Linked DNA regions of Cricetulus griseus. The protein of the gene in region 3 purifies or fractionates together with the protein of the main gene of each other region. This does not show direct contact. Links are inferred from orthologs where the notes say so. Each region holds a gene or a part of one and is shown on either strand. Other genes may lie near its edges. The genes, in order: Cask, Lin7c and Arhgef26.

What was found.
Region 1: the proteins of Arhgef26 (region 3) and Cask purify together in Homo sapiens (affinity purification with mass spectrometry; 3 studies listed by BioGRID and IntAct, with this or other methods). This does not show direct contact. The link is inferred for Cricetulus griseus from reciprocal best matches to the Homo sapiens genes ARHGEF26 and CASK.
Region 2: the proteins of Arhgef26 (region 3) and Lin7c purify together in Homo sapiens (affinity purification with mass spectrometry; 3 studies listed by BioGRID and IntAct, counting the BioPlex papers as one, with this or other methods). This does not show direct contact. The link is inferred for Cricetulus griseus from reciprocal best matches to the Homo sapiens genes ARHGEF26 and LIN7C.

The regions. Positions count from the first base shown.
Region 1 is NC_048604.1:119,409,650-119,413,781, reverse strand, and holds the start of Cask (peripheral plasma membrane protein CASK), read left to right. Parts: upstream 1-1,240; 5' UTR 1,241-1,374; coding exon 1,375-1,433; intron 1,434-4,132. UniProt on the Homo sapiens protein: Multidomain scaffolding Mg(2+)-independent protein kinase that catalyzes the phosphotransfer from ATP to proteins such as NRXN1, and plays a role in synaptic transmembrane protein anchoring and ion channel trafficking.
Region 2 is NC_048599.1:68,121,374-68,125,019, reverse strand, and holds part of Lin7c (protein lin-7 homolog C), read left to right. Parts: intron 1-259; coding exon 260-469; intron 470-1,427; coding exon 1,428-1,583; 3' UTR 1,584-3,646. UniProt on the Homo sapiens protein: Plays a role in establishing and maintaining the asymmetric distribution of channels and receptors at the plasma membrane of polarized cells.
Region 3 is NW_023276806.1:89,775,744-89,779,816, forward strand, and holds the start of Arhgef26 (rho guanine nucleotide exchange factor 26), read right to left. Parts: upstream 2,933-4,073; coding exon 1,868-2,932; intron 1,004-1,867; coding exon 964-1,003; intron 1-963. UniProt on the Homo sapiens protein: Activates RhoG GTPase by promoting the exchange of GDP by GTP. Required for the formation of membrane ruffles during macropinocytosis. Required for the formation of cup-like structures during trans-endothelial migration of leukocytes.

The DNA.
Region 1 (4,132 bases), on a different chromosome or scaffold from region 3:
GATATTTGGTGAGTTTGGGGCAGGAGGCAGGAGAAGCTGTTTCTCGAGTTCCCTGTTCGTTCTTGCACACCTTCCTCTGCAGTTTTTGTTTGGTCCTTTCCTTGGACAATTCTCCCCCTCCCCCACCCTCATCTTCATTAAGGAATGGCAGGGTGCCACTAAAAGCATCCGCCGCCAAGTGCCGTCCTGAGTGACAGTCTCTCTCCACCTCCTCTCTGGCTTTTCCATTCATTAGAACCCTTTCCCTGCGTTTTTTTTTTCCCAGCCCCAAACTGGGAAAGGCTTCCTGAGGTTACGAAAGAACGGGGAAAGCTGCCAAAGTGCTGAGCATGCTGTCCCAAAACGTGCATACTGCTGTGGACCCTTTGTCCCCAGCCCCCTTTCTCCACTTGGTCGCAGCTTGAGAATAGAGGCGACGACCTCCACCAGCCCCACCTCAGTAGCCGCAACCCGCGGAGCTCCGCCAGCCGACCCCCAGCGCCCTCTAGATTCCCCGCGCTTGCCGGTTCTCCGTGACGTTCCGGGCGCTGCGCGCATGCGCCACGGGGAGCGCTTTCCTCGCGCCCCCCCCCGCCTCCCCCCGTCCCCCGCCTCTTTCCGCGGTCCCCGCCTCCCAAAGGGCTGGAGTGGGCGGGGCCTGCGCTCCAGCAGCCGCGCGGGCCGAAAGGGAGGAGGCTTAGTGTGCGCGAGGCGGGTGCTCGGGGCTGGCAAGCCAGGCGGCAGCTGAAGCTTAGGGGAGGAGCTGAAGGCAGCGGTCGCCGCTCCCGCCCGCACTGAACACTCATCCCGCGAAGCCCCCTCCCACACTTGGGCGGGCGGCGGCGGCGGGAGGAGGAGGAGAAGGAGGAGGGAGCGTCTCTGCCGCCGCCTCCTGGTCCCCAGCGCCGATCAGCCGCCACCACCTCCCTTCGCGACGATCCTCCTTCCATGGTGCTGTCGCGGCCCCCCCTGTAGTCCGAGCTGCCCCGCGCCGCGCCGGAGTCGGTCTCGGGCAGAGGGAGCGGTCGCGGCCTCGCGGCCCGCGCGGGCTGACGAGCAGAGAGTGCGGCGCCTCGCGGGTCCCCGAGGGTCCGCACGCCCGGCAGCGCGGCGGCGAGCGACAGCGCCAAGAGCAGCGGGCGGGCGGGCGGCGCCGGGGCCCGGGCCGCCCTCGCTCCCACGCCCCGGCCCCGCCGCCCGCGCCGGGGCGGCAGCCGGCAGAGGAAAGGCGCTGCAGTCTCCGGGCCTCGCGGCCCCAGTTGAGCTTCCTCGGCACTGAGGGCTTGCGGGTCCGGTGGGGAGGACGCGAGCCCGGAACCCGGGCACTGAGCTCTTGGGCGCCCCCAACCCAGTTTTCAGAACCCTCCACGCTGCGGCCACTGTCCCCTTCGGACCATGGCCGACGACGACGTGCTGTTCGAGGATGTGTACGAGCTGTGCGAGGTGATCGGCAAGTGAGTCTCCACGCGAGGGAGCGGGAATGTGGAAAAATGCATTTCAGCGATGCCCGGGGCCTCCCGCACCCGCTCCGGGCCTGCCCCCTGCCCTCTTTCCCTCCCCTCTGCCTCCCTCGTCCTCTTCACCCTGGAGTATTTATAGACGTGTACCTGGATCTCCTGCCAGGAGAGGGTCTGGGGGCTTCTCAACGACCCGTGGAGGCCAACGAGCCCGGGTCGGCCACCCCATAAGGCGTGGGGCGGGCTCCCTGCATTTTATCTGACGGTTACACAGGGACGTGGCAGGACCGATTTTATAGTTGCTTCCTGGGAACAGTTGGGGTTATTGTTACCTTTCCTGTACCATAGACCTTTTCACGAAAAGAGCAGCCTGCATTTCGTGTGCGTGTGTGGAGAGAGCGAGGAGCGCGTCCAGGGTTTTTAATTGTGGGGTGTGTGTCTATTGTGCCAGGATATTAGACAGATGCCTTTGTGTTCACCCCGTGCCCGGATTTAAGAGGGTCATTGAAGACGGGTGCGTCCAGTTTCAGCAAATTCTTCACCTGCCTTAGACGAACGTAGAAAGAGTTAGGGGCACCCAAATTTTTAATGCCTCGTTATGCAATGACTGTACAATCAGTGCTCGAGGCTCCCTTCCACTGTTGTTGGGATGGTGGTTAGCGTGGTAGAGCCGTCTGCTTTGAGTCACCGGGCTGGTCTAGAATATAGAACTGACAGTCCAAATGCTCATCCTTTCATCTGTGTTGTATAATTACACTAGGGAAAAGAAGGGAATCAGATTAATCACAGTACTGATTGAGAATTAAATCTGCAGTTCCTCATCTAATTGTCCGGTCCTGAAATCTGTTTTGAATTGTTTCCTTTTCATTCTTGTCAAACAATATTCCAAGTGCACAATCCTGCTAATTTGCTTGTGAGGGAAATGCTGGCAATCTGAAGTTGATTTCCTAGCTCAGCGTGTATTCTGTGGCTTTGGAAGTTGAGATGAGATTTAAGAGCGATTTTTGCTTATTTAATAGGGCTCGTTAGATAGCTAGTATTGAAATATTTTCCCTCTTTTTGGAAGCGGTGCTTTATTGTCTATTTTAAGGTTCACAGTTGGGAAATGAAACCAAGACAGAGCAGTTGGCTCTACCTCTTTTAAGTTGTCTGCAGTATACTCAGTTTCAATTTTTTGAGTACTGATAACTCATTTTTTCCTCCATATTGAGGTATTACATTGCTGCTCACATGGTGAAATTGTGGGTAGAGCTTGCTACACTCTTTTCTTAGACCCAAATGCTTCGAGGACGCATTACTCCTTGCCCCATTGTTCAATGACCAGCCTGTCTGTTAGGAGGAAGATGTCCAAATGTGTCTGATAGAGTCGTGGTTGTGCCCTAGAGCAGCGCTGCCCAAAGCTATTTAATGAGAGCCACGTGTAATTTATAATTTTCTAGTAGCCACATTAGAAAGATTTAAAACAAAAAGGTACAATTAATTTTAATAAAATATTTATTTAATATATTACATCTGAATTAGTGATTTCAGCATGAATTTTTTGCAATACTGTGCATCTTTTCATACTAAGCCATTTAAATCCTATGTGTGTTTTATACTAACAGCACATCTCGATTTTGACGCTAAGCTAAATTTTCACCAGAAGTACTTGATCTGTATTTAGGTCTCATAAAATTTGCATGTGCAAAAGTAGATTCACATACTCAAGTTGTTCCAAACATACATAAAAGTTTTCCAGTAACGGAATTTGCTATTTCTAAATTTTAATCAATTAAGCAGAATGCAAAATTTACTGCCTCAGTTGGATTAGCCACATTTCAAGTGCTTAATAGCCACAGTCGACTACCACATTTCTAGAGAAAAATATAAAAAAATCTCCTTCACTTCTTCATTGTTGAGAGCACACAAAGAAGGTAAATTAGATGTTTCTCAAAACCACCCAAATGACCAGGTGTGAGTGAGTGATGTTTGTTGTATCTTAGTTATGGCTGTTGTAAGTGAGCCTGCAGTTGGAAAATGTGGGATTACGATGCTTTCATATATTATGATGTTGGAAAATAGCCATAACTGAATCAATAATGGTGACTGCTTCTGATTCCTTCAGGTCTAAAAGGATGACAGTGTGATCCCCTTGGATTTTGGAAAGTGGTCAGTCTCATGTTAGCAGTCTTTTTGCACTGACTTAAATTTGATAATATATTTTCAGAAGACACCCCTGGTAGAATTAAGTTTATCTATTCTGTTGTTTTGCAGCTACATAAGGAGGAAGAAAGAACGAGCTAATTTTGAGATGCTAGGTAGTCAGTGGCTGCCTGCACTTCTGTGAACTGTGAAATTTCATTCCTAGTCTACAAAATCTGACTTGGTGTCATTTATAAAATGCCATTTCTTGAAATAATGAATCCAAGATAGTCTCAGTGTTAAAGAATGTAATAATGGTGTTTTCCAGCCTGTGCAAAGGTTGAAGGTTTCTCCAGTAAATTGTGTCAGTATATATTGATCCTGAAACTGAAATTCGTTTGAGATATTTTTTTTTTTTGCAGGGACCTAGACAGCATACATTTAAACTAAGAATTTGTTCAGTTATGAGCTTAAACAGAAAGGCCTTGCAGATCATCATTCCTCCTGAAAATCTTTTTGTTGATTTCTATCCAGACTCTACAGAATTTTGGTTTTCTTTTGTATCAAATTAGTAT
Region 2 (3,646 bases), on a different chromosome or scaffold from region 3:
CAGCCCTGTGCACATGTAGCACATATTTCTGAAGTTTACTTCCTACATCATCTCTGAGTATTTATCATCGTCATTTATCTTCTGCAAACATGTTTGACTTACAGTAAAGTTGTGAGAGCTCACAAATGAAAAGCTTTGTGGTTCAGAAGTGCCTTTGGCAAGCTAGAGATCACATTCTTAGCATATCTGAGTCCCTGGGTTCAAACCCCAGCTCCTCAAAAATAAGTTGTGTTCTTAGATGTGTGCATTTCTTTTCCAGGCTACTGTTGCTGCTTTTGCTGCCAGTGAAGGGCACTCCCATCCCCGAGTTGTTGAGTTACCCAAAACAGAAGAGGGCCTTGGATTCAATATCATGGGAGGCAAAGAACAAAACTCACCAATCTATATCTCACGGATAATTCCAGGTGGAATTGCTGACAGACATGGGGGTCTCAAACGAGGAGATCAGCTACTTTCTGTTAACGGAGTGGTAAAGATAAATCTGTTTACATTTGTTATATGCAGTAATGTGTTGTAGCCACTTGGGGGTGCACTGGAGCAATCGAATCAGAAAATGAAAGGGGAAAAACTTCTGAGACTGAGTTGAAATCCCTTGAGAGAAACCCAAGTGGTACTGCTCAGTACAGTGTTGTGTGGTTGTTTTGATTTGCTGGTGATAGTGGAGGTTGTTGTTGGGCTGAACACCAAACTCAGAATGCCAGGCTACCACTTGACCACTGAATTGCATCCCCAGCCCAGTACTTTAAGTGCGGCTGTAGATTAGCTTTCACAGACTGAATTGACAGCTGGGGAACCTGCATGGGACTGAACTAGACCCTCTGAATGTGGGTGACAGTTAATGTGGCATGATCTGTTTCGGGACTAGCCCTAGCAGTGGAACCAGGACCTATCCCAGGTGCATTAACTGGCTTTTTGGAACTCGTTCCTTATGGTGGGATAACAGGGAGGGGCTTGGTCCTTCCTCAACTTGGTCTGCACAGACTTTGTTGACTCCCCAAGGAAGGCCTTACCCTCTGAGGAGTTGATGAGGGGAAGAGCCGGAGAAGGGGAGGGAGGGAGAACTGGAGTTAGTATTTAAAATGAAAAACAAATTTAAAAAAAAAAAAAAAAAAAGGTGTGGCTGTAGAGCACTCCAGGGTATATCAGCAGTGCTCGGAGGAGCTAAAACTGTATAAATTAGAAATAAACCCGCATTTTACTCGTGAGGAATGGCAGTTACTTGATCTACTGCTGACCTAAGGTGTGTGTATATTCCTAGAATATGCACAAATGTGTATCATAGGATTTCAGATTAAAGTGATAAAATAAGATTGTTATTTTTATAGTGCTGAAATGATGTAACATTTAAAATTTTTACTTGTGTTTTAAACATTTTTACAGGTTGGATTACTTGTTAACTGTTTCTTTGTGTGTGTGCATTTTTTCAGAGTGTTGAAGGAGAGCATCATGAAAAAGCTGTAGAGCTACTGAAAGCAGCCCAAGGGAAGGTTAAATTAGTTGTACGGTATACACCAAAAGTCCTGGAAGAAATGGAATCACGCTTTGAAAAAATGAGATCAGCAAAACGCAGACAACAGACCTAATCATTTAAAAACTTTATGTTCCTCTTTGCTTTTAGCTAGAAAAGTTTTACTTGTGACCTACTGATGGCCTCGATGCCAGTGATTGTAAACCACCAGAAACTTCCGTGAAATCTTCTTGCCATTTTATAAATGCCTATTTTAGCATCACTTACGGTTGTAGAGAAGCATACACTTTTTTTCTCACGAGAAAAAGTAAAAGGTGATGAGGGCAGTTCTGTCCTGCTGTTTTTACAGGCCTTTTTCAAATGCAGATTTTGTCACAAAGTTGTTATAGATTTTTAAAAATGCTTTTTTAATATTAAAATGTACTTTTACATTCTTAATCTTTTTTTAAAAAGAGCTTTTCATCATTTGGCAACTTATTTACAAATAACAGTTCTCCAATATTTCCTTTTGCTTACTGCAATTTCTTTGTGAAATTTCTTTTCAATTTTCCAAAATATTAAAACTAGCAGTCTTTCCTTCAGCAGTTTATCACATTGAATGTTGGCATTGCTGCTGCATTTTGTACTTAGAACATACATAAATGTATCTGTAATCAGTGGTAAATCATTGCTATCATGGAACCTTTTTATCTTTATTTAAACAGTGTATAATGTATTCATTTATACTGATTTGTAAAAGTAAGTTTTTAAACACTGAAGCAATCATTGCTAAATAGGTATTCTTTCATAATATTTAAGCAGTGAATCAAGAGGATGTAATTTGATTATTAACATTACTGATTAAATCCCTTATTTATGTCATAAATTATAAATGCAAACAAGCTCAGATTTCAACTTTTCAAATTTGTTAGGCTATTCATTTATATTTAAATATATTTCTCATATTTCAGTTCTTCCATGCCTAGAGATGAGGTAGTTTGTGCTGAGAAAAATGAAAATAAGACAAAGTAATAACTTAAATGTGGAGCCTGAAGAGCCCAACATAATTAGTGTTCAGCTTCAGTTCTAATTCGAGACAGGAAGAGGAGGCAGGATTTGTTTAAGATACAGAAACAGGCAGCTTCTTAAGTCTCACAATGAGTGGGGTTCAGAATGCTTCTTATCTTTATGATTCAGATAGCGATGAGAGTCTGAACAATGCTTTTTACCATTTGTCCACTGGATGTCACTATTTTACTAAAAGGCAGCTATCGATGTGTGATTATGACTAAGTCTTATAAAAGCTGAAATCAAAGTTGATTCATTTTCAGTCACAGATTATAAGAACATTTATAAAAGGTTGAGGTGATGATGTTAAAAAACTGATGGGTTGAAATGCAGGAAATTATCATAATTATGACTTTATTACCTTTATTTTTTTAAAAAAAAAATGGGCATTTTGTAACATTCCTTCAGGAAGAATGGAAGTGTGTACACGGCTTTGCATGTTTGTGAGCACTGTCAGTCTTACAAAATATCTGTAGCTTTCAGTGGTTTTCAGAGTAAAAGTCAGCATTGTTATTTATCATTTAGGAATTGAACACTGGATTGTGCATGGTTGAATGTCTTTAGTCCACTACAAAATGTGCTTGATATTGATAGCATCATGTTGAATTGTATATTTTCAAAATTAGCTGATGTGTTTTTAAAATGTTGAGACCAAAGTAGTATAGAAGAGTATGACATATTTTAATTTAATTGTAAGATTATTAGAGGTATTTGTAAAACTCTATATATTAAAGTTGGTGCATATAGAACAGTAATATTATTGTTGTGCTCGTATCCCTACATCACAGGGCAAGTACACCCTGGGGTCTTGTCTCAGCCTAGCTACTATGGCTACAGTTGCTCCTCAGTACACATCAGCGTTCCGTTACAATTACAGCCTCCTGGTTCATGTTTCAGCGATTGCAGAATTTCAGCCAAGTTACATTTTTTTTTCTTTTTTTAGTTTGTTGAGTAAGCTTTTTCTTCTGCAGTAATTCACAATCTGTTCTTTGTGTGGGCTGCTACCTATTTATAATTCGTAAAATAAAAGTAACTTAAAGGAGCCAAATACATAGCTTTGCTTGGTACTATTGAGCATGAGTAGAAATAGCTTGCTTTCATTGATGAAATTCTCATATCTCAGAATTTTAA
Region 3 (4,073 bases):
TTACTAGTATTCTCAGAGCTTCTGATTTCTGCACTTATAAAATCAAGGAGACGAATTTATCCCAATTAGCCAAAATACTGTATCTGGGTTTCTTCTCCAAAACTTTCTACAATTAGTACAATGACTTCATTGATTACCCATTTGCAGTTATGCAGGAACTATTTTACAATCACCCAAATTAAATATTAAATCTACATGGCTTTCCTTTAGCTTTTCTTACAGTGGGGCATACTTTCCTTCATTTTCACATAAAGGTAGAAAGCTTTCATGCTTTTACATAAAGGTAAAAGCATGAAAGTAAATCCACTCACTGTCCCCAGGAGTCTCAGGGGAAGGCCTGAGACTGCCCCTTCATGCTGCTCCAGTTGGCTGACACCTGACCCATCTATTTACAGAGTCTACTAATCTGATTAGCATGTGAACACCTGGCTGAGTCTGCTTGTGCTTTTGAAATCCTTAACAACAAATAATATACAAGTCACAAATTCTCAAGATTGTTGTTTTTTCCACCAGAAAAGCTGCATTTCCCCAAAGGAGAAACTTAGTAGGAAAACAGGAAGTCACAAGTGAAAATCAAAGGTGGAAATATGGTGAAAATAATATTAAGGAAGAAAAAAAATGTGGCCTAAGGAAAAACCACATAAGATCCAAGTGTCAATTAAAGAGCCAGAGCTTGCTCTGCAGCTGGGGACGGAGCCAGGGCAAAGAAGAAAGAAGAATGAAGCTCCCAAGATGTAAACTGAAAAAGTTATCAGCTTATAAAAATGCTCCCTCATGAGTAAAAACCTTAGCTTAGTGAACACAGCTTTGCACTGTAGAGTCCAAGACAAAGTTGGGCAATTCTGTGTTTTCATCTCAAGTGTCTTTGTTACTTCAGTTAGTTTTGAACTTATAATTGATGTGTCACATTGAAATTGCAATAAATTTCAGTTTTATTGGAAAACTGGAAAATTAAATGCTTACCTTCCCCATCAAATGTACCTTGTCCTTTCAGCATTTTTTTCTAAGAGAAGAGGAAAGCAAAAAAAAAAAAAAGGGGGGGGGAGAAAAGCAAACTATGTATGAATGAGCCTGTAAGTAAACGTGCCCTTTTGTTATATCCCTCAGATTCCCAAAAGCACACCGCAGAGAATCCCCATGCCAATTCACAAACAGTCAAATAAAATGCACAGCACCCCCCACATGCCCTTAAACCAGACTAAGAATCCTCAAATGACCAGCATTTCCACACAGTTCACTACCTGATTCACTCTCACTGTGAAACTGAACTTTGCTATCCTTGACAGCTGTGTCAGTGTGTGTGTGTGTGGGGGGGGGGTGTACATAAAATGTTATGTTATGTCTTTTCTTTAAGACCATATGTCTAAAATGAAACAGGTTTGTTTGTGTATTGCATATTTGACATTTATATAGACTTGTTCCAGTTCTCTGATTAATCAAAAAAAAAATTGTGACTGCCAAAGGCAGGCTTTGCCCTATGCTTAGATATGTCTTGTGTCTAAGAAAGTGGCACCTACTCCAAAATACCCCTGTCTAGTTGTCTTTTTTCCTTTAGGTCGAAATGGAAAAAAATATTCAATAAGTGCAACTGCTAGGCCTTTATCAGCATATATCACCTCATACCCTCACTCAAGTTCTAAGCTACTAGTCTGTCAAATACACTCAATGATTAATAGTAATCAGCTATAAACAAGGAACATGGTGACTAAAACAAAACAACAGAAGTCAGAGTACTGTTCCAGGGCTTGGGTACTGATTTAAACTCATTTTACTAGAATGTTGTCAAAAGTGCCATGATCATTCAACACTTGTCCCAAACACGTTCACTTTGAGTTTAATGAAGGCAAGTGAGTCTGCCCAGTCCTACCTTTATCCTTCCCAGGCTAGAGAACTTCTCCTTGTCTTCCATCACTGCCTTCAGAACAGGCTGGGACATTCTGTTCTTCTTCTTTGAGCTAGTGGGGCTGTCAAAGTCAAAGCCGCTGACCACTGCCCTTCGGTAAGAAGTGGACCGCAAGCCTCGCCGCAGAGAGCCCGGGCTGTCCAAGTCGTTGTCGACTTCGCCTTCCTCCCCTTCGTGGCCCAGGGGTGCTCCCAGTCCCTCCACCATGCTGCGCACCTTGAGGAGCCTCCTGTGGGGCTCTACATTTTGACTATTGGATTTACTCAGCTTAATTTCCGAGGCAAGGCTTTTCGGGATTATCTGTTGCTTTCCCATCTTGAGGGCGGCGGGGCTGTTGGTACTCAAAACCACGGAAGGGTTCGGGAGCTCATTCCCTTGGGAGGGCAACCTTTGGAGCGGCAGTTTTTGTTCTGAAGACCTGTGCTGGGGTGCAGGGGAGAGTCTCGAGGACCCGGGCTCCAAGTCCCTAGCCGTCTGACCAGTTAGTGAAGCTGAGCCAGGTGAGTCGTTTTTAGGGACAAGGCCATTGGCAATGGGAGAAGATACCTTACTGGCAGTTACGACGGTGCGATCCTCCTCCGGGTCAGGAGCGTCGGGAGTCCGAGATGCGCCCAACAGCGCCGCGGACGAGGCCACCGTGCCATTAGCGGAGGGCTTCGGGGAGCCGCCCGACGCCGCGTGAAGAACTAGGGGTGACTTGGGTCGTCGAAGTCGAGGAGAAGCAGCTCTATAGTCCGGGGACACCGAGCGACCATTGGTCACCGGCCTCCGATGCGGGCACAGAAGCTGGGGGCTCCTGGAAACCATCCTGCCGTCCGGGGCGGCGGACACACGGGAGGGAGTCTGCGGCACGGGCAGAGCCGCCAGTTCCTCCACCGGGAAGTCGGTTATCAACAGTCCGCTGGGGCTCTGGTAGGACTGTGGCCGAGGCTTGCTCCGGCCAAGTAGCTGGAGAGGAGGGGTGGACCGTCTCCGCCACAAAGGGGTGACGCCGTTGCTGGAAAAATCCACCTCGCTTTCGCTGTCCATGGCGGGGCCTTGGGGCCGGCCCCGGGAGAAGGAGAGCTGCTCAGGTTGCCTAAGAGGAAGGAACTTTGGCTCCGGACAACTGGTCTCGTCTGGGAGCCCAGCCGGCTCCCAGCTTGGCAGTCACACGGGTGTCGCGCGGGACTCGGCAGCGCCGCACTTACCCGCCCTTTCTCGGGCACAGCGCCTCCCGCCACACTGCGCGACCGCGGGCAGAGATCCGAGCTGCTGCCGATAGGTTGAATCCGGTCCTTCCTGCGTCCTTCCCGCGCCCAAAGCCCGCCGGTACCCTACAAAGCCTGCCACCCACTCACAGAGGGTAGCCGACCCGCAGGACACTTGGGAAGAGTTCAGCTGGCTCCCACAGCTCGCCGCGGGACGCTTCCCGGTGCCTCCATCCAGCCGCCCGCTCCGCGCCACTCTACCGGGCCCCCGCTGCGCGGCTCACGGCGCGCTCACCCTTCCGGGTGTCCAGAGCGCAGACCAAAGAATGCTCCCGGCCCCGTGGGTGGCCCGGGTCCGCACCAAAGCGCGGGGGAAAGAGCTCGGCACGGCGCAGCAGCGGCCCGCGGCGCCGGCTCCGCCCCCACGCTGGGGCCAGCCCCTCTTGGCCCCGCCCCCTGTACGCCCGGGAATCTTGCGGAGAGGAGTCCGCGAATCGTTCCCTCTTGCCACCCACCTCCCCGCCTTCACCTCTCTGCCTAGAGGACGCGCACACCTGAGCCGGGTGCGTAGACGCAAGTACGGGGTTGCAGGAGCGCAGGCGGCCGCCGCAGGGGCCAGCTGGAGGGCGCGGGCGCGGCACGGAGCACAGCGTGGGAAGGATCGAGAGAGCGAGCTTTGCCACGGTGTACTTTCTGGTCTCCGAGCCCGGGAGGAGGAGGTTGGAATGGTTATTAAATCACGTCGGAGCGTGGCGCTACTCTTGGAAAGGTGAACCACTTCGGAGGGTACTGCTGGGCCCCTAGCGATCTTCAAATTGAGCCTCACTCCCCTACTTAACAGTGCCATGTGGACTATAGACGGATTTACTTGTGTGCACTCAGAGGGAAACTGGCTCTGAGGCCAGGTGGAATTGATTTCGTAATCTTTGGACTTTGTGTGTTTGAAAGTTACACAGTAAAAGTAAACAAAATACAAAATA